2 linked regions of the Daphnia pulex genome follow. The protein of the gene in region 2 purifies or fractionates together with the protein of the main gene of each other region. This does not show direct contact. Links are inferred from orthologs where the notes say so. Each region holds a gene or a part of one and is shown on either strand. Other genes may lie near its edges.

The links.
Region 1: the proteins of probable tRNA N6-adenosine threonylcarbamoyltransferase (region 2) and EKC/KEOPS complex subunit TP53RK-like purify together in Homo sapiens (affinity purification with mass spectrometry; 5 studies listed by BioGRID and IntAct, counting the BioPlex papers as one, with this or other methods). This does not show direct contact. The link is inferred for Daphnia pulex from reciprocal best matches to the Homo sapiens genes OSGEP and TP53RK.

The regions. Positions count from the first base shown.
Region 1 is NC_060017.1:7,078,644-7,090,181, reverse strand, and holds EKC/KEOPS complex subunit TP53RK-like, read right to left. Parts: upstream 7,149-11,538; 5' UTR 7,026-7,148; coding exon 6,827-7,025; intron 6,750-6,826; coding exon 6,283-6,749; 3' UTR 6,241-6,282; downstream 1-6,240. Other genes in the region: ornithine aminotransferase, mitochondrial-like, read left to right, coding at 1-114, 181-347; GPI ethanolamine phosphate transferase 3-like, read right to left, coding at 563-715, 774-993, 1,062-3,112, 3,176-3,481; U6 snRNA-associated Sm-like protein LSm1, read left to right, coding at 3,977-4,028, 4,088-4,272, 4,336-4,512; dehydrogenase/reductase SDR family member 4-like, read left to right, coding at 4,897-5,021, 5,092-5,269, 5,341-5,418, 5,486-5,632, 5,710-5,844, 5,918-5,973, 6,040-6,154; uncharacterized protein LOC124196883, read right to left, coding at 8,145-9,742, 9,802-10,094, 10,163-10,281, 10,349-10,444, 10,508-10,726, 10,785-10,979, 11,046-11,192, 11,258-11,362.
Region 2 is NC_060019.1:5,068,139-5,080,369, forward strand, and holds probable tRNA N6-adenosine threonylcarbamoyltransferase, read left to right. Parts: upstream 1-6,679; 5' UTR 6,680-6,863; coding exon 6,864-6,978; intron 6,979-7,054; coding exon 7,055-7,134; intron 7,135-7,207; coding exon 7,208-7,349; intron 7,350-7,416; coding exon 7,417-7,790; intron 7,791-7,874; coding exon 7,875-7,947; intron 7,948-7,999; coding exon 8,000-8,055; intron 8,056-8,123; coding exon 8,124-8,288; 3' UTR 8,289-8,330; downstream 8,331-12,231. Other genes in the region: ADP-ribosylation factor GTPase-activating protein 1-like, read left to right, coding at 1,395-1,454, 1,547-1,938, 1,997-2,173, 2,248-2,267, 2,337-2,419, 2,475-2,585, 2,842-2,901, 3,025-3,167 and 1 more; inosine triphosphate pyrophosphatase-like, read right to left, coding at 3,805-3,933, 4,003-4,202, 4,498-4,651, 4,731-4,958, 5,076-5,114. UniProt on the Homo sapiens protein: Component of the EKC/KEOPS complex that is required for the formation of a threonylcarbamoyl group on adenosine at position 37 (t(6)A37) in tRNAs that read codons beginning with adenine.

The sequences.
Region 1 (11,538 bases), on a different chromosome or scaffold from region 2:
ATAATGCGGAAAAACTTGGAAAGATCCTGCGAGATGAAATGAGGGAACTTCCTAGCTCAGTCATCAAACTAGTGCGTGGAAAAGGATTGTTAGATGCTATCGTTATCCAGCCAGGTAATAACCAAATTCATTTATCATGCCCAAGTTACCGATTACTAAATAAAATTTATTATTCTCAAGAATTTGACGCGTGGGAGGTTTGTCTGAGGCTGCGTAACGAAGGACTGCTCGCCAAGCCAACCCACGGTGACATTATTCGTTTTGCTCCACCACTGGTCATCAATGAAAAGGAAATGCTGGAATGTGTATCCATCATCCGCAAAGTTATTCACTCCTATGTCAAGTGAAAAAAGAAAGAAAGAAAAAATGATTAAGCTTTTCATAAATTCTTCCATTCAATAATGTTTTTTTTTTTCTCTCTAAGGGCTTCCTTTCTGTTGTAATCGTTTCCCTTTATAAAAGCCGGCAACGGACAATCCCTCAATTGATTATTTCCCTCTTTGAATACTTTTTGTCTTTTGATCGATTGTCTCGGGTTGAAAATGATAAGAACGAAATATATTTACATCGTTGCCTGAAAAAGGAATAAAGATGCAACAATCCCCAACGAAGTGTAAACAGCGAAAAGTAGCTCGTAGAGAAGTCGCGGAGCAAAAATTTTCCAAACCATCAGGTGGCGGCGGTGTAATGCTGCAGCGCCCATACAGCCAAACAACTAAATATAAAATTAAGTAGTATTAGAACTTTCATTTAATCTTCGTTTTCCTACTCACGCGCACAGCATGGAAAAACAAAAAGTGTAGCCAGCCATTAACTAATAACATTTGCGAGTCTTTGTTCTTTCGTGTCACGTTCGAAAGTGACACGATCGGGACGGACATGGCGTGTAGGAGCATAGAAAACGCCGTGCTATAACTGACAAACAAAACTGGCAGCACGTTAGCCCATTCACTTTGGCTATCGGAGTGGGATAAACCCACAAAAGCAGTTTCCCTTTAACCCAAAAAATAATTAAATAGGTGGAAAAAGTTACTATAATTGATATTATATAATATTTTTACCATGGAATGTTAGCGAGGCTAGTATGATGTCCACCAGCAAAGAAACCATGCAATGACAAAAGTCCATAAAGAGGCCACATCTCTCCGCAATTACTTTCTCCGGTGAAGAGTTGAGAGAATAGTACAAGATTGGCCAGTGCCAGAATAATACCTGGGGCCAGGCCATCACCAGCTAACAAAATGGCCAGCGTTGACAGTAGAATGACCAGATGAGATATCTTTTTGCGATAGTTTGACATCTTACCCAGTTCATTATCGAATAAAAACGTATAAATATCATGGCAAAGTTTTACGATAAACACAATGTAGAACAATCTTGGAAGGTACACGAGTCCAATTGTGTCACTGTCGGTCAGAAAACACGCACTTTGTAAAATCCAATAGCACCAGACGATCATGACGATAAATAGGTTTTTGCGGTCAAACGGAAGGTATCGTTTGTAGAGTAGATAAAAAGCAATGCAGGACACTAAAGCTGTAGACACTCTTGCAAAGACTATCCAGTTAGTTCCAGAAAGACTATTGAGGCTCCTGTGAAGGCTGTGGGCTTCACAAGTAGGAAACTGTTCTTCACGGCAGCGAAAAAAAGCCAATCCTAATCGAGTTGTCAAACTCAATGCAATCCGAAGTATCCACTGACGATTTTTCGTTTGGCGTCTGAAGAACATCGGAATCCAGATGAATGATTGTGCCAGGTAGTGAACGACGTAGGGTTCTTCAACAACGAAACTGTTTGAAGTGTAGGAAGCAGCCATGACAAATGGGGCGAGATAAGCAAATTTAAACAACTGCTGAAGTCGAATCTTCCGCATAGTCCCAACCAAATAAACGAACACTGGTGTTAAACTTAATCCAAGAGTCAACACAGAAGACCAACTGTGCACTAAGATGGAGAGGAAGGCTCCAATGATACCGAAATATTTGACAGGTTTCATCCAATTCAATTCGGATTCGATGAGAAAATTCGCATGTAGAAACAGTGAGCAAGTAAAAATTGTCAATCCAATGGAAATGGACGTTAGATCGAAACGAGCCCACATGGAACGGCATATTTCTTTAGCTTCAGTGAGGAAAATCTGCGCTGCTTGAATGAATTCTTCGAGTTTTTCGTCCGGAGCGCAACAACTTGAATCGGAGGTACACGAATTGGAACACTGTTTCATTTGTAACCGTTCGAAAAGATGGACAGCACGGTCAAACTGACTGCTGAGATGTTCGAATTCTTTCTTCGGAAATGACGAATCACGGCTATAGGTTTCCAAATAACGCCAGATTTGCTTGGTATTCAAATAAAGAGCTTCGGAGAAATATGACTGTGCTATTTTCATAATGTGCTCTTCACTGGGGTGAGTTTCTCTCCACAGCTGCTCGGGAAAAACAAGGTCTAATATTACAGAACCTAAATTTGAATACGGAATTGGTATGCCCAGCAGTACTGACAGGGTTGGTACAAGATCCACTTGGTTGATTGATGTTTTCCTGGAGGTGTTGAATTTGATATTCCATCCTGGGCTGTATGCAAAAAAACCGGCGTTGACTTCATCTGGACTGTCACCACCGTGATCACCGCTTCGTGTCATTCCGTGGTCACCCATGACTAGGAGTAGTGTTTGAGGATTCATGTTGCTTACGATTTTTTCGATTAAAGAGTTCATCTCCTTTAACTTGAGGGGCATGACAGGATGCTCTGGACCGTAACGGTGACCAGTGTGGTCAACTCCTAGACAGTGGGCAATCAGTAAATTCCAATCGGGTTTCATCATTTCTGGCACCAAGTGTTGTTCCACTCCTCGGTCAACAGTATGAATGTCCCACACGTCAAAGGATGGGAAAGGAAATGCACGTTGAAAAGACCTTGGGAACAACTGCAACCAAGTGTCGTCACCCATAAATGTAATATTTAATCCTGACGAAGTAATCTGACTGAGGATATTGTCTTCTTTGAGCTCATCACTTGCAAAATTGCTCCCAACATCAATAAAAGTAGGTAAAGATCCAGTGGTAATGCCCTTTAAACGTTGCATTGTAGAAGTGGGAGGATCTGCAACAAACTGTACACAAAATTAGATTAGAACTCATTCATCTATCCCCTAATGCTTATTTTGTAAACATACCTGATACAGCACACCATGATTATCCTTCAATAACTTTTCCACAACAGGAAGATTATTTTGGTAGATTGGTATACTACTCTTGTTTGTGGAATTGTTGTAAACAAGAAAGTCATAGCGAAGAGCATCAATGATAAGAATGATGATTTTCTCGTATTTTGATTCCAAACAACAAGAAACACCGTCAAACGCTGCGGACTTTAGATGAATTTCTCGGCGAGTTAACAAAAACCCTTGAAGAAAGTACATCACCCCATTTGCATACAACAAAATGAGCCAGGAAAAAACAAGCAAATTTCTTTTTTTCATTTTAGATTTGAATACTTTTCTTTTTTAAAATATAGCATGCAAAAATTGCACATATATTGTAGACTAAATCATTTTTCTTCAGTGAACTTTGCAACTTTCGTGATTTCGTCTCTATCGTTTCAAATTTACCTGCAGACGAAACTATCAGAAATGTGTAAACATGAGTGCTAAACAACATCCCTACTTCACGCTCTTGCAAATTAAACGTTCTTTCTTTGGTTCTTTTAAAAAATATTGAAAAGAATTTACTTCCGGGATTTTAAAAGGTCGATTAATATTTAAAAAAAGGAATTCGAATAATATCATGGAAACGCAATCAATTCAACGTTGGCCTAGGGGTCACTGGCTGCATGACTCAATTTTCAAGGCTTCTACATCTACAATTTAAAATTCGTAGACGATTGCAGACGATTTGAGAAACGCGTACGCATGCACTCTTGACCCAACTGCACTAAAAGCACGAGTTTTGTTTTATAGGCTGATGAAATTTCGAAAATGAATGTCGCTTCATTACCGGGGACGGCGACTCTTCTTGAAGATTTAGACAGTAAATTTTTCTGAATTGAACCATGTAGATGTCATGAACTAATGCTTGATTATTTTTAGAAAAGGTTATAGTCGTTCTACGTGATGGCCGAACTTTGATAGGATACCTCCGTAGTGTTGATCAATTTGCTAACTTGGTTTTGCATCGAACTATTGAGAGGATTCATGTTGGTAAAGAGTATGGTGACATTCCACGAGGAGTATTTATTGTCAGAGGAGAAAATGTTGCTCTTTTGGGAGAAATCGTAATGTTAAATTTTGACAGATTGTGATTGCAGACATTATAACAGTCCCTTTTCTGAATTCAGGATTTGGAGAAAGAAGAAAGAATCCCCCTTAAGCAAGTTGGTGTAGAGGAGATCCTTGAAGCCCAAAGGTTGGAGCAAGATGAGAAGCAAGCAAAGGAGAAAATTAGATTGAAGAGACTTAAAGAACTAGGACTTCAGTCAACTGTTGCAGATTACACTCATGATGATGCTTTTTAGTTTTGATGCTTGCTGTGAAATTGTTTTGATTCGTGACAGGAAAGAACATAAACGATTCCTTTTGTATAGTTTTGGTTAACTGAATTTAAAATTCATTGTAAAATTAACTTCTTTTTCTTGAAAACTCTAATGAGATTAATTAGCCAATATACAAAACTATCAGTATAAAACTAGTTCCTGTCGACATTTTAATTTTCAGGTGTGATAAATAAGCCAAGTACTAGCATTCATGATTGGCTACTGAATGTAAAATTTCGTAAGCTCCTCCCACTTGAAATTGACAGCTCTTGTCAGTGTTGTCATTCGGATAAAAGTCCATACACTTGTTTTGGCTGATTGAGAAGATATTGCTATATATATATTGCTATATCTGTTGTTATCGTTATGATACTGAAAAGTGCTGGCCTGCTAACTAGACGCTTTCTTTTTACTACGACGACATTGAAAATGAGTTCGACCGCCAAAAAATTAGATGGAAGAATTGCAATTGTTACTGCGTCAACGGATGGGTGAGTATAATAACAATAACATCTATAACCTTTTATCAGCGTTAATCTGAATTACCATTTTTGTTTTTAGAATTGGGTTTGCTGTCGCCAAGCGACTAGCTTCAGACGGAGCACAAGTTGTTGTAAGCAGTAGAAAACAGAAAAATGTTGATGCTGCTGTAGCAAAACTTAAAACAGAAGGACTAACTGTTACTGGCATGGTTTGCCATGTTGGATTGAAAGAAGATAGGGAAAAACTGATAGAAGATGTACTTTGAAATAAGTTAAAAGTTGTTATCACATTTCATTCATTTATGTAATTATTTTCCTATTTATACAGACTGTTTCTAAGTTTGGAGGATTGGATATTTTGATAAGTAATGCTGCAGTAAATCCTGTATTTGGACCAGTATTGAGTGTAAGTTAAATCAGGTTTATACACAACTTAGCAACTAAGTATAAACTTAATTACTCTTTTTAAACAGTGCCCTGAAGATGCCTGGGATAAAATTTTTGATATTAATGTCAAAACAGCATTTTTACTTGCCAAATCTGCTGTTCCACATATGGAAAAGAGAGGGAGAGGTTCTATAATATTTATTTCTTCAATTGCTGGGTTTCAACCATTTTCTGTAAACAGCATATCTTATTATCATTGATTGGATTTTTACTAATACCAAAATTTATTTGTGATATCTTACCTTCAAAGGCTCTAGGAGCTTACTCTGTAAGTAAAACAGCTCTACTGGGATTAACAAAGGTGCTGGCCCAAGAAGTAGGACATAGTGGCATTCGCGTGAATTGCATTGCTCCTGGCGTAATCCAAACAAAATTCAGCGCAATGGTATCATTACCACATTAAATAATTCCTTACGAAAGCGGTGTTATAGCTAACTATTTACATTTTTTCCCGATAGTTGGTAGACAATGACGATGTGCGCAACAAAGTCCTGGAAGGCATACCCCTGCAAAGGTACGATATTTTGCCTGTACATTTTTAGCTATATTCAATTCATTTACAAGAGTTAACAAAATTCAGGATTGGACAACCAGACGACATGGGTGGATTGGCTTCGTTTTTATGCTCAGATGATGCTTCCTTTATAACTGGAGAAAATATTGTTGCTGCTGGTGGAGCTCAGTCTAGGCTGTAAAATATAGAATGTGATGACACAATTTGGGCTCAAAATTTATCAAATTAATGCAGAGATTTATTATAATAAGTAACAAATACAAAACATTAATTCTGATCCTGTGGCATTTTATTTCGAGATCTCGTCGTTTATCCAGCCATCGAACGCTTTCTACCACGAAGACGAATTTCATCAAGTTTTTTTAGAGTTTCTTTTCCATCTTTCTTATTTGTCTTTGCATAATACTTAAGAATTATTTCAAATAAATTTTCAGAGTTAGGGTGAGTACTTAGCATAGCTCTTTCAAGAACATACAGATCAACTCCCTTATCTTCTGGAGAATGGTCAATGAAGCTGAGACCAAAATCAATTACTGTGATTTTAGAAATATCACCACCTCGAATCAGCATATTAGAAGTAGTTAAATCCCCATGGATGATGTTCTGGGAATGCAACAAACCAATTGTACTTCCAATTGTAGAAACCAATGTCTCAAGACTATTTTGATTCACAGGATCCTTAATGAAGTCTTTAACTGTCACACCATCAGTAATGTGCTCCATCATTATATGATTTAGCTCCACGTTAACACAATACACAGTTGGAGCATGGACACCTAATCAAACAATTAGTTGTGATGATTACTATGATATTACTTAATAGAAAACTATAGTTAATTCTTTAAAACATTACCTGCTAGGCGACAACGAACAAGTGAGCGGACTTCGCTTTTTAGTCTTTGAGTTGAAATTTCCCGGTCAAGATGTGGGTGTCTGTAACGCTTCACAAACCTTTCCTTGATAATGCACGGTTTTCCATGAAAAGTGCCACTATATATTTTGGCTTCGGACCCCTGCTTAATCAAGGCGAAATTTCTCTCCTTCATATTCATTTCACAAGATTCAAATTGCTTGCTCTGTTACCACGAACCATGCATGATCCTACAAGCAGTAGCAGACTACGTTTTAATGTTTTTGTCGAACATACATATAGATAAGCAATCCGTCTGTCGACTGCGGTCAGTGCCATCTGGTGTTGACACGCTACCTGGTGGCAATGAATATTTTTTCCATTAAATAATACGCACTTCTTTTCACACAAATTTGTTAAAATAGGATAAAGCAAGGGATTTTACCAATTCCTTTTTTTGCTCCCTCTACCCGCTCATTTTATCATTAATATCTTTCAATATCTTCATCGATTTTGTTTGGTCTAACTAACAGAATTTATTCAGATTTCAGAAGCAGCCAAGATAATCGAATTCGTCTGATAATTCGAAACTTCATACATTGTTTACACATTAATGTGGAATTATGACATCTTTAACTTACCAAAGATCCCAAAAGACACGAGTTATTAAATTACATTAAGGATTTAGGGAGCTACAGTGTTTTTAACGAAAACCAATTTGCAAACCCGAATTGTGAAATCTATAAGGTTTCAGAACAGAACAATCATATCCTAACTGGAAATAAGAAAGAATTTATTTCAAGTAACCAGAAGGAGAGAATGGTTATGATTTAAACTAAAAATACCGTTACAATCACACGTCTCGGTTTCTGAGTTTGCGCGACTTTCAAAATACTTGTTCAAAACACGGGGAGAAAATGATACCAATAGTACCTCTGCTCAACAACGACCAAAGCTTGTTGGTTTCGAGACATCAACATCGTAAATCGCATCGAAAATTTAGAATACTTTTATACAACAAATCAATAAGGTACGAATCCTTCAGCTAAACGGATGGCGATGTAACGTCGTTATGTACATAAAACAAAAGCAGTGATCTTCCAGGTTGAGAACATAATATGAATGAATGACATTCGAAACGATTTAGAAATGCCATCGAATGAAAAAGATAGGAAGGACAAGAAGCGAGTAAAATATACGCATAGATTCTGGGTGCACAATTACGAAAGAAGTTGAATACTAAACAACGTTTCCGGAGAAGAGCACGCATTTGCTCGAAGTCGTAGAGGAAGGCAAAAATAAAGTAGAAAAGGAAGAGATTTTACCGTTTTCCGGACATTAGTGGTTGGGATTTTGTACGACAACGAGTGACACGATGATTGGAATTCGCTTCAAAAGATAAATCTTCCAGCCCTTTACGTCTTAATTCTTTGCATTCATCGTTTAACAAGCGAAATAATTCCTGTCTTTTCCGTGGAAGTCTACTCTCTGGAGTTAGTGATCCAAACGAACTTGCTCGTGAAAACATGTCGTTATCTGGTCCTCCTACATCAACCTCGATAACCGAAGAATAATTTTCGCTGCCACGGATTAATTTCGCTTGAGGTGCCAAACAATTCGATGACGAGGATTGATCCAATAAACGAGCTTTTTTGCTAGGACCATCAGATAGTGAATCCTCTTCGTCAGAACTATGAAAATCGGGTTCTTTTTCTCTTTTTCGTCGAGTATTCCGCTGGTTTGAGAAAAGAAGGCCACTTAATCCTTTGTGTTTCAGTTCCTCGCACTCGTCACTGAGGGGTGGAGAAAATTCCTTTTTAGGGCTGACGGAACTTCTCGGCAATGGAGAGAGCTGAAGTGGATCTGTTACATCGCTTGTAGTTTGAATCGTCTTGATTTGTGTTGGTGGACTGCTAGAGTCACTGTTTGACGTTGGTGATTTTTTCTCCTTTTTTTGAATTTTCAACAGAGACTGCTTCATCTGTTCCCTTTTCTCAGCAGGAAGCTTCGCTAGTTTCAATGGTGTTACAATGGGTAGGGACGAATCAGCTGAACAAACATCAAGTGCACCACTCCTAGCAAGATCTTTTTTTATAGCTTGCTGGTGGTGGCCCATGAAGGTCAAAACTGGTAGGGGCGCGGTAGCTGCTGATGCCAGCCACTGAGCAACGCTTCGTGATCGGTTGTTATTCTTTTCAGATGCCGTTTCATTCGGCCGTGAATTTGGAAGGTGGCACTGAGGTCCACTAGACGTTTTCTTAATTTTGGTGATAGAGATACCAGGTGGTAAGACAAGAGAATTAGACAGCACATCTTTGCTGCCTTGTCGCTGGTCGCCATCGTCGACTTCGTCTTCTGAAGAACAAAGATCGACTATATCTGTAATACTACCGCTCGAAGTCATTTGAGTACGTGGTGAGGCAGCAACCGATCTTGGCGAGGAGACGGAAGGCATTTGGATTATGACTGGATCAACGGAACGCGTCTTCGAATGTCTGTTAATAACTGGAATCAGATCAGGCAATATGAACTGGTTTTTCGTGGGCTTGGGTTTGACAGGTTGCACAGGTTGCATAGACCAAGTGCCGGTGATCAGAGGAAGAAGCCCTGGTGGAGCTCTTGCTTGAGATTTCCCGGAAATATGGTTTCTTGATACTTGGCGAATTGTTGATGATGGTGAGGCAGCTTGTTGGTTTCGAAGAAACGTTTTTTGCGAATCAACAGGAGCCAAGCTGATGGTGCAACTAGCAGGTAAATTTGCAATGCTTCGCTGTAGCCACGGCTGTAGTAAATGTGGCGGATGCTTTGGTTTAGGTTTCGGACGAGTCCACATATCTATCTCTTCCGGTTTTAACCTAACCATCACCACATGAATACCTTGACATCGTTGAAGTAACTGACGGGCGCGTTTATTCAATCCTTCAATAAAAATTAATTGTTAATACCAAACACATGGAATATTAGTTCAAGTAGTTTACCCGTCGCGATAGTCTCCATGCGCTCTCTTCGGTCTGCTTTATTGAAGCTGTAAGAATGCGCCCACTCGTCTTTTCTTTTAAACACAACTGGACGAAAGCGATTAGAGGTAGTTGCTGATGGGATAGGTGGTTGCGTGTGTTCTCCTGTAAGAGGGTCTGATCGGAGCAATATTGGTTTTGCTATACAAAAACGCTCGTATCGATTGATCAAGAGTTCTGAAGCTGTTGGTGTTAGTCTAATTGCCTTGAAGAAGCTTTGTCCAAGATTTGACGAAAAGGGAATTGTCGTAAATCTGTAATAAAATAATGATTGTTGCATTTTCTTCATCAAAGGTTATCAGATAAAATATTAAGGATTCACCTCTTATCACTGAGTGTACAAGTCCTTCTTACAACCGGACGAATTTTAGCAGGAGTAACATTAGGCGGTGGTAAAGTTTGACTACGACTGGACAAGGACAAATACCACAGAAATTGTGCCTAAGAGACAGAAAGGTAAAAAATTTAAATATCTAACAAAAGTTAATAGTAAAATAAAAATGTTTACTTCATCCATGTCCCGTGTTTCTAGTTCAGTGAAAGTGTTAATGTTATTGGATTGGGCTTCCAAAGCTTTATCAGCCATACATTTTGCTTCATGGGCCTTCAATATTTGAGAATATGTTCAAGAATAAGTTACCGAGACAAATCATAATGCATAGAGTACCTTAATGGCCGAAAGTGAGCTGAAATCTGCACCACAATAATCACACAAATAGATGTCATTAATTGGTGGTTCAACCATTTTTGCTGCAGTTGGAGCTTCTATTTCCATTGTGTTTGAGGCTCCAGCATTTAGCTTTGTTGGACTAGTCGGAGAGTTTAATCGGGGAAGTAACATAGGGCGAGAGGCACTAGATTGCTGTCTGAAACCCTTGTCATAATTCTAAAAAGAACGAAGTTGTTAACACAAACACTCGGTCCCATTCATTAACAAAGCTCACCATATTTTCATTCTGAAAAGTAACCAGTAGCTTTCCATTTGTGCTATCATACATTGAAGTTGTTCCATCCCAATTGTCTTCAAACTTGTAACCTCCAGTGAGTGTTTGCAACTTTGCAGAAAATTGCAACAAATATGTACATCCATTATAATTATAACAATTTCTCACTAGAGTAGTAAGTTTGGATCTCCAATTCTGCGAAACAAAAGAAGGAGGGTTTGCAATTATAAATTGTTTATTTACTCTTGTGAAAATTCTTACTTCGGTCTGATATTTCTTTGTAAGAATTATAGGTGACCAAGGAACATCAGGTGGCCACCACTTGAATTTTGTATATCTGGTCCAGCCAGTTGGTTCACACCCCAGTATGCATTTAATCAAAAATGGTATGAAGTACTGCAGGTCCTCCTGAAAAAGCAAAAAAAAAATATGATTATTGGCCGAAAACAAAAACCCGGAAAAAGTATACATACCACAGACATGGATGTTATGGATGTAGGTTTGCCATCAGAAAACAGCAATGGGAGGTTTGAGACCATCACATCTTGTTTACTGTTGTCTTCTTTTTTATTCTCCATTTTTCAAACAGTTGTTCAGTACACTTTCACTTAAATCTGAAATGAAGAACACAATCTTAATTTCTGGTTGCACAAATCCCTTTAAAAAATGTTATCCGCCCTAAAATCCCCATATTCAACGACATCCCACGTCAATTACGAAATTTTATCGATAGGAAAGGAAATGAATCTAAATT
Region 2 (12,231 bases):
AACTCTACTCTCGACTCGAATGCCGTTCACTCCGTGGCCCTCTGGCGTAAGCCTTTCGTGCGCCATCTGTGATCGCATTCAATACATCACAATTGTCGCTCCTTTAAATGACGAAGTTGAGAATCCAGCAGATTTGTACACTTCTTTTTTTTCTCTCAATCCTCAGTTTTTCCCGTCGATGGAACCAAACATTGCTTTGCACATGGCTCTTAAGATATTTTTTATAACGTGCTCTTCTCACAGGTCGTTTTTATCGATCCAGTTTTGGTTCATCGGCACTTCCCCAACAAGACATATTTTCCACTATCGAAAAACCAAATTAATAGTTTTTCATTTAAGAGTCGTGTGGTATAGTACTGCCGAACACCCCTTCACCCAGCCCTTCATCCACCCCTTTTCCAGTGGTGCGTGCAATCCCCCCCCCCTCCCCCGTCGACCCCCTTCCAGCGGGCTTGGGCTGCGCGTCAGCCACGTAAAACTCAAAATTTTTGAACGCGTTTTACGGGCGCTCCCGTTCATTTGCATACCGTTGAACCCTTGTTGAGGTCTTCGTGACGAAATCCACCTTGTATTTTTCGTTGTAAAAAAACCGTCTTGCTAGGGAAGTGGCGAAGTGCCACTGGGCCCGACAGCCCTATAAAAATCCGTCGAATGGAAACGTTTGCTCAAACGTTTCCATTCGACAGAACTCTAATTCAGTTGATGATAACGAGTCGTGCTTCTCGGCCTTCAATATATAGCTGACATTTCGCAGAGGCCTTCCTATATCCTTACATGGTACTCTTTCTCCGTCCAGTTCACAATAAAATATTTCTCCGTCCAGTTCACAATCTGACCTAAGATGTCTATGATATCGCTTTCGTCCAATAGCAACCCAAAAGTCGTTACCAGTGTCTATCCCCAATTATCCTTTTTACATTGCTATAATACTCTTAACTAGTAGCAAAAATATTAAATAATAGGGAAATATTAAAGGAAAATTTGTTTCCTTGACCAATCTCTTTTACCTAATTATGATGTTTGAAAAACCTAAGCTAGATGGCGTTCTCTAATGGACAGCCACACTATACTCATTACTAAAATATCTAAAAAATTATTATTTATTAATTTGAAGGAGGAGATTTATAACTTAAACTACAACTCACTTTTAAATCCCCTGCTATTGAACGGTAACCATAAAATGTGTACTTTGTAAAGCAAACACGAATCTTTTGAATTAGTAGTTTCATGGTCTGTTTTAAAGTAATGCATGGTTTGACACATCATCCCAATATTGGCAGTCAGAGGAAAGAGAAATTGAATTCTTCTTAAACCTTAAATTGGGGAAGGTGAACTGGTGAAGCAACTTCCGGATCAATATTTCATATCGATCGCATTATTCGTTCAACTATCCAATGGCAAGTCCAAGAACTCGAAGAGTTTTGCAAGAAATTAGACCAAAGGATGACAATAGTGTAAGATTTGTTTTTATTTTTGGCAGCAAATAATAATTAACTCATAATATTGACACAATTTTTCAATTGCTTTTATCTTTTTCCCATTATAGACATGTTTTGAATGTTCAGTTCACAATCCACAGTGGGCATCTGTTACATATGGAATATGGATCTGTCTTGAATGCTCTGGCAAACACAGAGGACTTGGTGTTCATTTATCCTTTGTTAGGTCAATAACTATGGACAAATGGAAGGATATTGAATTGGAAAAGATGAAAGTGGGTGGAAATTTGAATGCCAGACTTTTTTTTGAGACCCAGCCAGATTGGAACACATCAATGCCACTAGGCCAGCGCTATAACACCAGAGCAGCAGCACTTTACAGAGATAAAATTTCTGCTTTAGCTGCTGGTAAAACATGGGACATAGAAATATCTGATGCTAGAAATTATCAAACTGCCAATATTTCAAGAAGTTCTTCAGTATACAATGCTGGTTCACAGTAATATATCGTAAACAGTTAAGTATGAGATAAAATAATGTCAGTTTGTCCAATTTAGATTGGAATCTAAAACAAATAGAAACCTTCATAGCAGCTCTTCTACTCCAAATTTTGATGCAGATTTGCATCAGCAACCTGAATCATCATTTGGATCAGCTGGTGGATACCAAAATTTTAAAGATCAAAAAGAAGCATTTTTTTCCATGAAACAACTAGAAAATTGTGGACGGCCTGAGTAAGTACGAGTTTTGCAGATTTATCTTGTTGATTAGTTTTATGAGAAGCGTAATTTTTATCTTCATTTCTTAGCAATCTCCCGCCATCTCAAGGTATTCAACTATAAGCTGTATGATGTACAACTAGAATTATCTATTCCTGACCTATTTTTGTTTTTCAAGGGGGAAAATATTCAGGTTTTGGAAATTCTGCATATGTCCCACCAAGAAATTCATCTACCGAAGTTTATGATTCGCTTGCCACTGTAATTGTTGTGTTTACTCTATCTTATGAATATTTAATAATTCCCAATTCTTTAGGGTTGGTCAATGTTTTCTGTTGGAGCGTCGAAACTAGCTGAAAGTGCTCTAAAATTCGGTGAAATTGCTTCTCAGAAAGTTGTCCAGGTCTCGGAAACTGTGGGAGAAAAAGTAATGTACCTTAAATGAACTTTAATTTTTTGTGCATTTGTGTTGCCGTTTAGGAAAGCCGCTTGAGGGTTTGTTTACCTTTCAATCATCCAATGTTAAACATGAATTTTGTTGGACTGTTCTATTTCTTATTTTAAGTAACCATGTTCACATTGACTATTTATTTCCAGTATTTTTTTAATGTTAACGAGTTTTTAATCCCTGACGTGATAGAAGTGAGGACTTCATTTAAGACTTTTTTTTTCGTCATGCATAGGTAAAAGAAGGGAGATTATTGGACGATGTCGCGTCGTCGGTAACGAGTGTTGCTACTAAGGTCTGTACGTTTAAAAGTTTTTTTTGTTAATGTATAATTCGTGTACAATATTAGGTAGTAAAGTTCACGTAAAAGGTGTTATTGTTATTGTTAGAAATATATTTTTTCTTTGCATTGGTGCAGGTTACTGAGATTAGTAGGAAAGGATGGGCGAATGTTACTTCCGCTCGCAGTGATTACGATGAACCTCCCAGAGTGTCAGGGGAAAGATCTTCGCTTCTATCTGGAAGCACCAGTGGAGGATATGCACCATTGTCTGGTGGATGGTGAGGAATATATATTTCATTAATAGCATTTTTAATTAATATAATGAATCAATCATTCTTTTACAGTTCTCCCATCTACCAAGACAATTTGATGTCACCAGCTTCTTCTGTAAGTCAGGGGTTTAAGGGACATAGTGTCAATGAATATTCTCAAAGTGGTCAAGGTGAAGATTCAGGTGAATGGGTCTGGTCAAACGCTGCAAGTAATAACGATAGAAGTGAAAGTAAAAACGCTACTAAGACATCTCGTAACTCATCTGAAAATGGTGACAATCTTTTAATTGATTTTGGTGACAAAAAGAAAACAAATGCTGCTAAGAAGACTTCCTCTCCTGCTGTCACTGCAGTTAAAACCAAAACTGCTGAAGAAGAAGCATGGGATATGCTTAACAGCTGATTTGTTCATTTAAAACTTGCATTTTTTCCCTTGCTATTTTACCATTCATTGTCTCAAAAGATGCTTTCCAATGTTTCTTTTTTGATTGTTAGGTTCTCTGTAAGTTTACCATTCACTTAATATTATGGGACTGTCAAGATTGTACCATCTAGGCAAAATATGTCTTCAATCCAAAGTGAAAAAAAAAAATATATTGCTTCTGGAAGGAAAACACAAATTTATTGAACATATCTTCCTATTTCATGAAGACTTATTGCTAAAATAAAGTTTCATAGCTTCAAGTGCTCGACGCCGATGCGATATGGAGTTTTTAATTGTTTTCTCCATTTCAGCGTAAGTTAAAGCAAATCCAGTTGGCAGGAAACAAGCCTGACCAAATGTAGAAAAAAGCAATTAAAGAATAAATATATATTACATAATTTAACATTTTCAGCTCACATCCCAACCAAAATCCTGTGGGCCCCTTGGAGTTACTATTACACCTTCTGTACGCCCACTGAAAATATGGATTTCCTCCCCAACTCCTTCAGAGTAAGCAAATAAGCACAATGCATATGCAGATTTATCTTCCCATCTGGACAAAAGGTCTGTTAGACCAGCAGGTCCAATTTTAGCAAGGAACCATTTGACATATGGTCCTATAAAAAAAAAAAATATATTATGAAAACAAAACGTTCGTTCTTTGAAGCCGTTAGGCCGTTCTTGAGGCCGTCGGGCTGTTCTTGAGGCCGTCAGGCCCATTTTGCCATTTGGGCATATGCCCCTATTATATGCCTGGCAAAATGGGCCTGACTGCCTCAAGAACAAAGGTGAATATTAATATATTCATATAGTATAATATATTACATCATAATGACAAATTGTCCTATCAAAAACAATATTAGTCATAATGAATGAAAATAGGAAAACTTAAACTAGCCTTTATTTATGTACCTGGCAACCCTTGAAGGGCATTGAAGCAAAGACATGTATCTTCCACAAGAGTTGGCCCATTAATCAATTTTAAGGCAGCAAGACATTTTTCTTTCACAATATATTCTGGGTTCTCCCCTTGGTATTCTGGCAAATCTATGTTTTGTCTTACCACCTTTAACATGCAATTAAAATCATTGAACACATTTGTTAGTACATGATCTACCCACAAAACTTTTGACATAAAACAATACATTAATTAAAGAGTTGGATCCTAGAATGGCTGTTACTTCTTCTAATTTCTTTATATTTCCGGTGACGAAAGTGATCGGTCTCACAGACATGTTATCAATTGTCACTTTTGTCAGCCAAAATATGGCCAAATCAGACCGCCGTGTTGGGAAAATGAAGCCGATTTTACTTTCTTTTCTTGTCCTCCATTTCTCTTCCTCCAAGTAAAGCCACGCAAAGTCGGAAACCATCTAGTTGTCAAAAAAATAAACTTTTCGTCGGTAACGTAAAATTTAAAATATCATATTTTCGTTGTTTTAAATTAAGCGCCAAGAGACAAGAGGGGCATGTCGCCACACTGGTACTACCTCTGCTGGTTCCACAATGCGTAGAATAGCAAAATGCATAGAATAATTTCAAATTTCCAGAGTCCTACTCCTACAGTCCTATTACTTTCAATACAAATACTCAAATATACAATACATTTTAAGACATGCCATGCCATGCCCATTTTAACTAAACCCACCCTCCTTGACAAAGAAAAAAAATTGGGAAAAAGAGAAAAAATATTTCATTTGTTTATTTCATTTGTTACTATCGAATAGTTGATTCGTGACGAATAATATGAAATAAATCTTTCACTATCGTTTTCTTTCATTATCGGAAAGGGCTATAAAAGATTCATATTCCGTTTCCGTATTACTGAGCACACCCACTAGCGTGCTGTGTGCACGGGTCTGGCACGGGTTGGGTTTACTACTAAAATAGTAAAATGGGAATTGTTTCAAAAAATTACGCTAAAGGACTACATAAAAAATCGCCAAATATAATTCCCATTCTCTCTCTTTACCGCGGTCCAGTGCAGCACTGTGTCACTGTGTCAAGAGTTTTGTTGGTTTTTTCGAAGTGATTTGCAAGTCGCAAGTTTTTGCTAGTTTTTTTTTTTAATTTCGGTTGGTTTCTGATTTTACTTTCTGGGACATTAAGAATTTTTCACGATGATTTATTAAATGGAACATTGGAGCGCGGGCGTCCCTAAACTGCGAAAGCGAAACGCGAAACGCGAAACGCCTAAAATGCGAAACAGCTGTGCGAAACGGACCAAAATTTTGGAACCGTTTCGCGGGACCAAATGCCGGAGGGCATACTAAAGAGCGAAACATCTTGCGAAACAAATAGTTTTCCTTTTCCCCACAGAGGTCCAAATTGACGGAGATTGCCGCCATTTTTCATTGTCTCCCGCTATGATGAGGCATTAAAGGAGGAAGGGGGGCAATCAAATTCGATTTCTTCGCCACTACCCCTGTATGTTTTAATGCGCATTTTACGATTATTAAACTAATGAAAGACATAGAGCAGCACGATATGGTGATATTTTTAAATAATAAAATATTAGGTAATGGCCCAGGGATTATACATTACATTAAATAATTTTAATCAACCAGTAGATACGTGCACAAAGAAATAATCGGTCATAACAGTATGAGTGCCTTATATCAAGCTAAAAATCAAAGCTACCATGTTCCAAATCAAGCTAAAATTTAATCAACTAAAACTTCCCTTAAAATTAAGAATGTTAATCTGATTGATACTGATACATGGAAACGAGAAGTTCCATAAATTTTTTTATACCAATCTTCTAATTAAAAACACCTATTGCATATTGCATTCAAGGTATTCCGTATTCATAGTCAACACACAAATAGACCAGCCATAAGGTGCGCGAAACTCGAAGTCTCGAAAATTTGAAACTCTTAACAATTTTTTTGTTGACGGCGTCCATTGTCGTCTGCTACCAAGACGTTTGCACTGCGACGTTTCGCAAACACCGATTTCGCAGTTTAGTACGGACCCAAAGACTAAAATGCGAAACAGGGTCCCAACTTTTGGGTCCGTTTCGCACAGCTGTTTCGCATTTTAGGCGTTTCGCGTTTCGCGTTTCGCTTTCGCAGTTTAGGGACGCCCTTGGAGCGCTGTCGTCTGCTGACTGCTCTGACTCTGTCTGTACTCTCTGACTCTCTACACATGGACTACTCTAACTAATAACTATACATCAGCTTCTGTTCTGATGATCTGACACGCTCTTGCGACGATTGTAGTCATTTTTTTAAAGTTGCACTAGTCTGAGGTTCCATATTATAAATATTCATTGAAATATGGTTGTTTCGATAGGTTTTGAAGGTAGTGCAAATAAATTGGGTATTGGAATAATTCAAGATGGAATTGTTTTAGCAAATCCCAGGAGAACATTTATTACACCACCTGGAGAAGGTTTCATTACATCAAAAGTTCTAAACACGAAAAATAATGCGTATTGTTTTTTTTTAACTTATGACATTTATTATAGGTTTTAAACCTGTTGATACTGCAATTCATCATCAGTCAAATATTGTCCTCTTACTGAAAGAAGCTTTGGATGAAGCTAAGGTTTGATACATTTTAATTAGACTGTGAGAAACTCGTATTTCACTTCCAAAAAAATAAATCATTTATAATTCAGATTCATCCAGAAGAAATTGATGTGGTGTGTTACACCAAAGGACCTGGCTTAGGAGCTCCTTTGGTGTCTGTAGCTGTGTTTGCAAGAACAATTTCACAATTATGGAGAAAGCCAATTATTGGTGTCAATCATTGCATCGGGCGTACTTAATTCTTAAATTTTATATTGCTAATTTTAGTTGGACTCAAATATCATTCCATTTATTGCAGACATAGAAATGGCAAGATTAATCACAAGCGCAAAAAATCCTATTGTTCTCTATGTTAGTGGAGGGAATACTCAAATTATTGCATACTCCCAGAAACGTTATAGAATATTTGGGGAAACAATAGACATTGCAGTTGGGAATTGCTTGGATAGATTTGCCAGAATTCTTAAATTGTCAAATTATCCAAGCCCTGGGCACAATATTGAGCAGTTGGCAAAAAATGGGAAAATTTATGTCCCATTGCCATACATTGTCAAAGGGATGGACATGTCTTTTTCTGGAGTCTTGACACACATTGAAGATTTTGCTGCAACTTTACAAGAATATTCTGTGGAAGATCTATGTTTTTCACTGCAAGAAACTGTTTTTGCTATGGTACACATGCCAAAATCATTGCAACTAAAATTACATTTAATTTCCAATTGAATACTTCCGTTTCTTTTTTATGTACATTTATAGCTTGTTGAAACAACCGAGAGAGCAATGGCGCATTGTGGATCGCAAGAAGTGTTGATTTGCGGTGGCGTTGGATGTAGGTTTCATTTTCTTTATATTATTCTTGTCATCTAAGGATTTGTTTTTAGGTAATCTTCGACTTCAAGAAATGATGTCTGAAATGTGCAAGGAACGAGGAGCTAAGGTTTGTTGAATCATTGTGTAATTTTATCACAACAAATTTTGTTCATGGCTTTTCTGTTTTCTTTTAAGGTTTTTGCAACGGATGAAAGATTTTGTATAGACAACGGGGCCATGATAGCTCATGCCGGAGCAGAAATGTTTAGAGTTGGTGCCGTCACCTCTTGGAAGAACACATTTTGCACGCAACGATATAGAACAGATGAAGTGGAGGTAAATTGGAGAGATGAACAATAATAACTTTTAAAATGGCTAAATAAACTAGCTGCGTTAATCAAAGACAAAGTTATGCCCATTTTGCACGCAACGATATAGAATAGATGAAGTGGAGGTAAACTGGAGATGAATAATAAAACAATAATAACTTTAAAAATGCCTAAACAAACTAGCTGCGTTAATCAAAGTTTATGGTATGCTCGGCATGTCGACATGACACCACCCTACTATATCCCCCACCTCTACCAGAACATTGGCCATCAGGGTGTCCGACATTCAGGCCTTAACGTTCAGGACTGAATGCCGACCAAATTTGTGCCCAAATGTTTTCTTTCCAAGTCATTCAGGCCCACTTTGTTATATTAGCTACATCTAAAATATTTGTTGAAATTACGGGTATGGTATTCAATCAGGTAAGAGGACAGAAAAGAAAAGTCAACAAAAACATACGCCGTTGACTCTCCACGAGTATTCGACGCTGAATGAAAAGGCGATCAACTGATCAAGGTTATGTTTACACGACGGCAGTTAGGCCTACAACCACATCCTTTTCGCTGATTTCATGTTGGAGGAAATTGTGGCGTCATTTTGAGGTTTGGCGTTCAACATCCAAAATCAAGGGGATCGCAACTCAAATTTGCTTTTTATTTTGTTAGTATACTTTTTTCCTTGCTTTTTATTCCTCTTTTACTTTTGAGATAGGCTTTCCTTCAAGCGAAAATAAAAGGGTATGTAGGGTAAGAGTAAGAGTAGGGATGGGGAGGAGGGTAGGGCTGTGGCCCGGGCCATGAAAACCCGGGCCACTGTTCGGGTTAAAGAAAAAAAAGAACCCAAAAAATATCAACCCACCGAGGCAATTTTTGTACGGGGCGGGCGACGGGTTGAACCCGCGGGTCCTCGGGCCAACCCGAGTGGTGGCGCCATCTAGTAGTCACATAGAGAAGCTTGTTATTCAATATGCCTGAGGCCTCGAGAAAGACCTAAAAATATTGCCGCCAAATGCTCAACGAGAATTTCGTAAAAGTAGGATAAAAGAAGTGGTAGAAAAGAGCGTTCAGGGGTGTTCAGAAGACATCATTGACGTGTCACTGTTGGAAGAAAATAATTAAGAAATTTAGGAAATTTTTTAAAGTTTGTAAAAAAAAAGTGTGTTTGACCCAATTTTTACCCGGGCCGTGACCCGGACGGTAAGTTTCTTGTGATTCGTGGGGCGACCCGGGGCGGACCCATTTACGCTGTTGGCCCAACCCGCTCAAACCCGTGTTTAAAAAAACCATCTAGGTAACCCATGTAAAAAAAACCGTCCAAATACCTCCGGGCCACAGCCCTAGAGGAGGGTTAGTAGTCGTTCGCGTGCGACCTTCTTTTAGCCTGTATTGTAAATTTCATTTTTGTTTTCCTTTTTTCACTTTTCTTTGCTTTTCTTCCCTTTTTATTGTCGTAAATTTGATTTGCGAACATCGGGACAGGAAGGGTGAACAAAAAGAGAAGAGTCATCGAGATGATGAAATGTGAAACATGAATTTCGACATTTTCCCGGGCCGGCGGAAATCAATCTTCTTCTGGTTCGTCCATGGTCATCTGCTTGATGAGTTGATTCGCCTTTGCTGCAGTTCGACGAACGGGACGTACTGATGGGCTGGATCTGTTCCAGCGAAGAATCGATAGGTTGCTGGATATCAATAGTTTCGGTTGAGTCCGAAACCTCCAAGTTCGGAATTGGTCGGCTGGTTTTTTTGGAAGCTGTCCGGATTTCAGCTTCTCTGACGTAGCCATCATTTTTTTTAAATTTAGTTTTCAATTACCGCCAACTTCCAATGATGACGAGGAGACTCATCGTGTAGGGGAACAACGTAGCCAATCTTGACGATTTCTTCGTGATGACATAAGCGCCACATTCGAATTTGTCGCGTTGCCAGAGATGACCATCGACAGCAAAGAATGATGAGACACGAATTGACGAAAGGCGAGTAGGAAACAATGAGCTAAAAGATCCTCAACCAATTCAAGATGAATTATTCGGGTGCTGGTGCACGTGATTAAAAAAATATAAGCCTTTTGAGCATCTTTTGGAGAAAGACTTCGAATTTTGTAGGCACCGGTGTAATCGACTCCAACAACGCTGAAAGTGGGGGTATCGCTAACTCGGAATGCTGTTAGCGGAGCGTGATTTTGGGCTCTTTAGGGTTTCACACTCACTCGACGACAAGTTGCGCAGCTGCATAAAATGGATCGTACAAGTTGGTTGATGGATGGAATCCAATACCGTTGACGGAGACTGGAACAGGTGGCGTCGACGCCGAAGTGGAACATCCGTTTGTGATGATAAAGAATTATCAAAGGAGTCAAGTCGCAGGATTTTGGAAGAAGAAACGGATGCTTTGCACTGGATTTGATTCTAGAGTGCTGGAGACGGCCTTTACAGCAAATGATATCGTCGTCGTTGATAAAAAGATCGTGTTGAGACACAAAAGCTGAAGAATTAAATTTCCGATTTTTTTATGTAAAAAAAAATAATTACAAAAATCGGAAATTTAATTCTGATTACTTTTTGTTAGAAGTGTTTTTCAAAAATAATGCATACAACCCCTGCTATTAAACAAAATCATCGACGGGTAGTCAGCTGTTCCACAGAAGCTTATGGGGAAACGGCTAAAAACTGCCTCTCTACCTCATTGTGCTGCCAACTGGCGGGCGGCTTCCACTCCTCGGACCACTATCCCTTACAGCGCGGGAAAGGACTGCTTTCTCCTCTATACTCCTCCCTGGATTAACAATGGAGCGACTCTTGATTTGGAGAGACCGAAGGTGAAACGATCCAGGTTGCAAAAATAAGCTATGGCTCCAAACACGTGTGAATTGGCGTCCACGAAGAGATGCAAATTCTGAAGGTCGTAGTGTCGTCCAAGATAACAGCGGAAGACGACTCGATGATAATTGTCAACGTCAGTTGCGATTCTACTAAAACGTTCACGGAACTTTTGAGGAAGTGGATCGTCCCAGTCGAACTTCTCTTTCGAGAGCTCTTGGTTTAGAATTTTTGTTGCGATTGTGAGAGGAGCGAAGAATCCCATGGGATCGAAAACTCTGGAAATGCCACTGTGAGGAATATCACGCTTTGTTGTTGTAGCGTGGCTGAAGGTGGAAAACCAGAACGGGAAGGAATAGCGAGTCGGTATAGAACGATCCCAGTTTAGACCCAGTATCTTGGAGCTGGTGGAAGGATCGGCTACACCATCTTCAACAGCACGGACATTGATAGCTTGATCACTGGAACTCCAAGATTAAGATTCAGTCCGGCTTTGTTGAGAATGGAATTTGACACAGCATATCTGCTTCCTCCGTTGAGTAACATCCTGAAATAAGATTTTCGAAATAGATGTTGAGATCCATATCAACTGCTTGGGCGACGGCAAAGACTGTAAGTGATGTTTGATGACTGATAGGAGAATAAATGGAGAACAGCTGGCTCCGAACGGAATGACTTTGAAGTTTGAAGCGATACCCTTTAGCTCTGCATCGGAATCTCTGATATCTCTGGTCTACATAAAGCGGATGAAATCACGGTCCGACACGTGCAGGAAGACTTTAGAAAGGCTTTTTCGATGTCCGCGGAAAGACCGACTCAATGAACACGAAAACGTAGTAGAATCTCCAACATGTCGTACTGAAGAGGTGGTCCTGTTTCAAGGCAATCATTTAGACTGACGCCTGCTGTTGCCTTACAAGAAAAGTCGTACACTATCCGAAGCGGTGTGATCGCTGAATCTTTTTCGATGGCAAAGTGAGGGATATAGTGACAACCACGTTTGTAAATTTCTCCCGGCGGGAACTTTTCGATAAAACCTCGATTCAACTGGTCACTGATGATATTTTGGTAGATGGCCAGCTGACTTGGGTTCTTACACACCCGCGCTTGATGTTGAGTTAAATTAACAAATACAAACTGCTGTTTCTTCTCGAT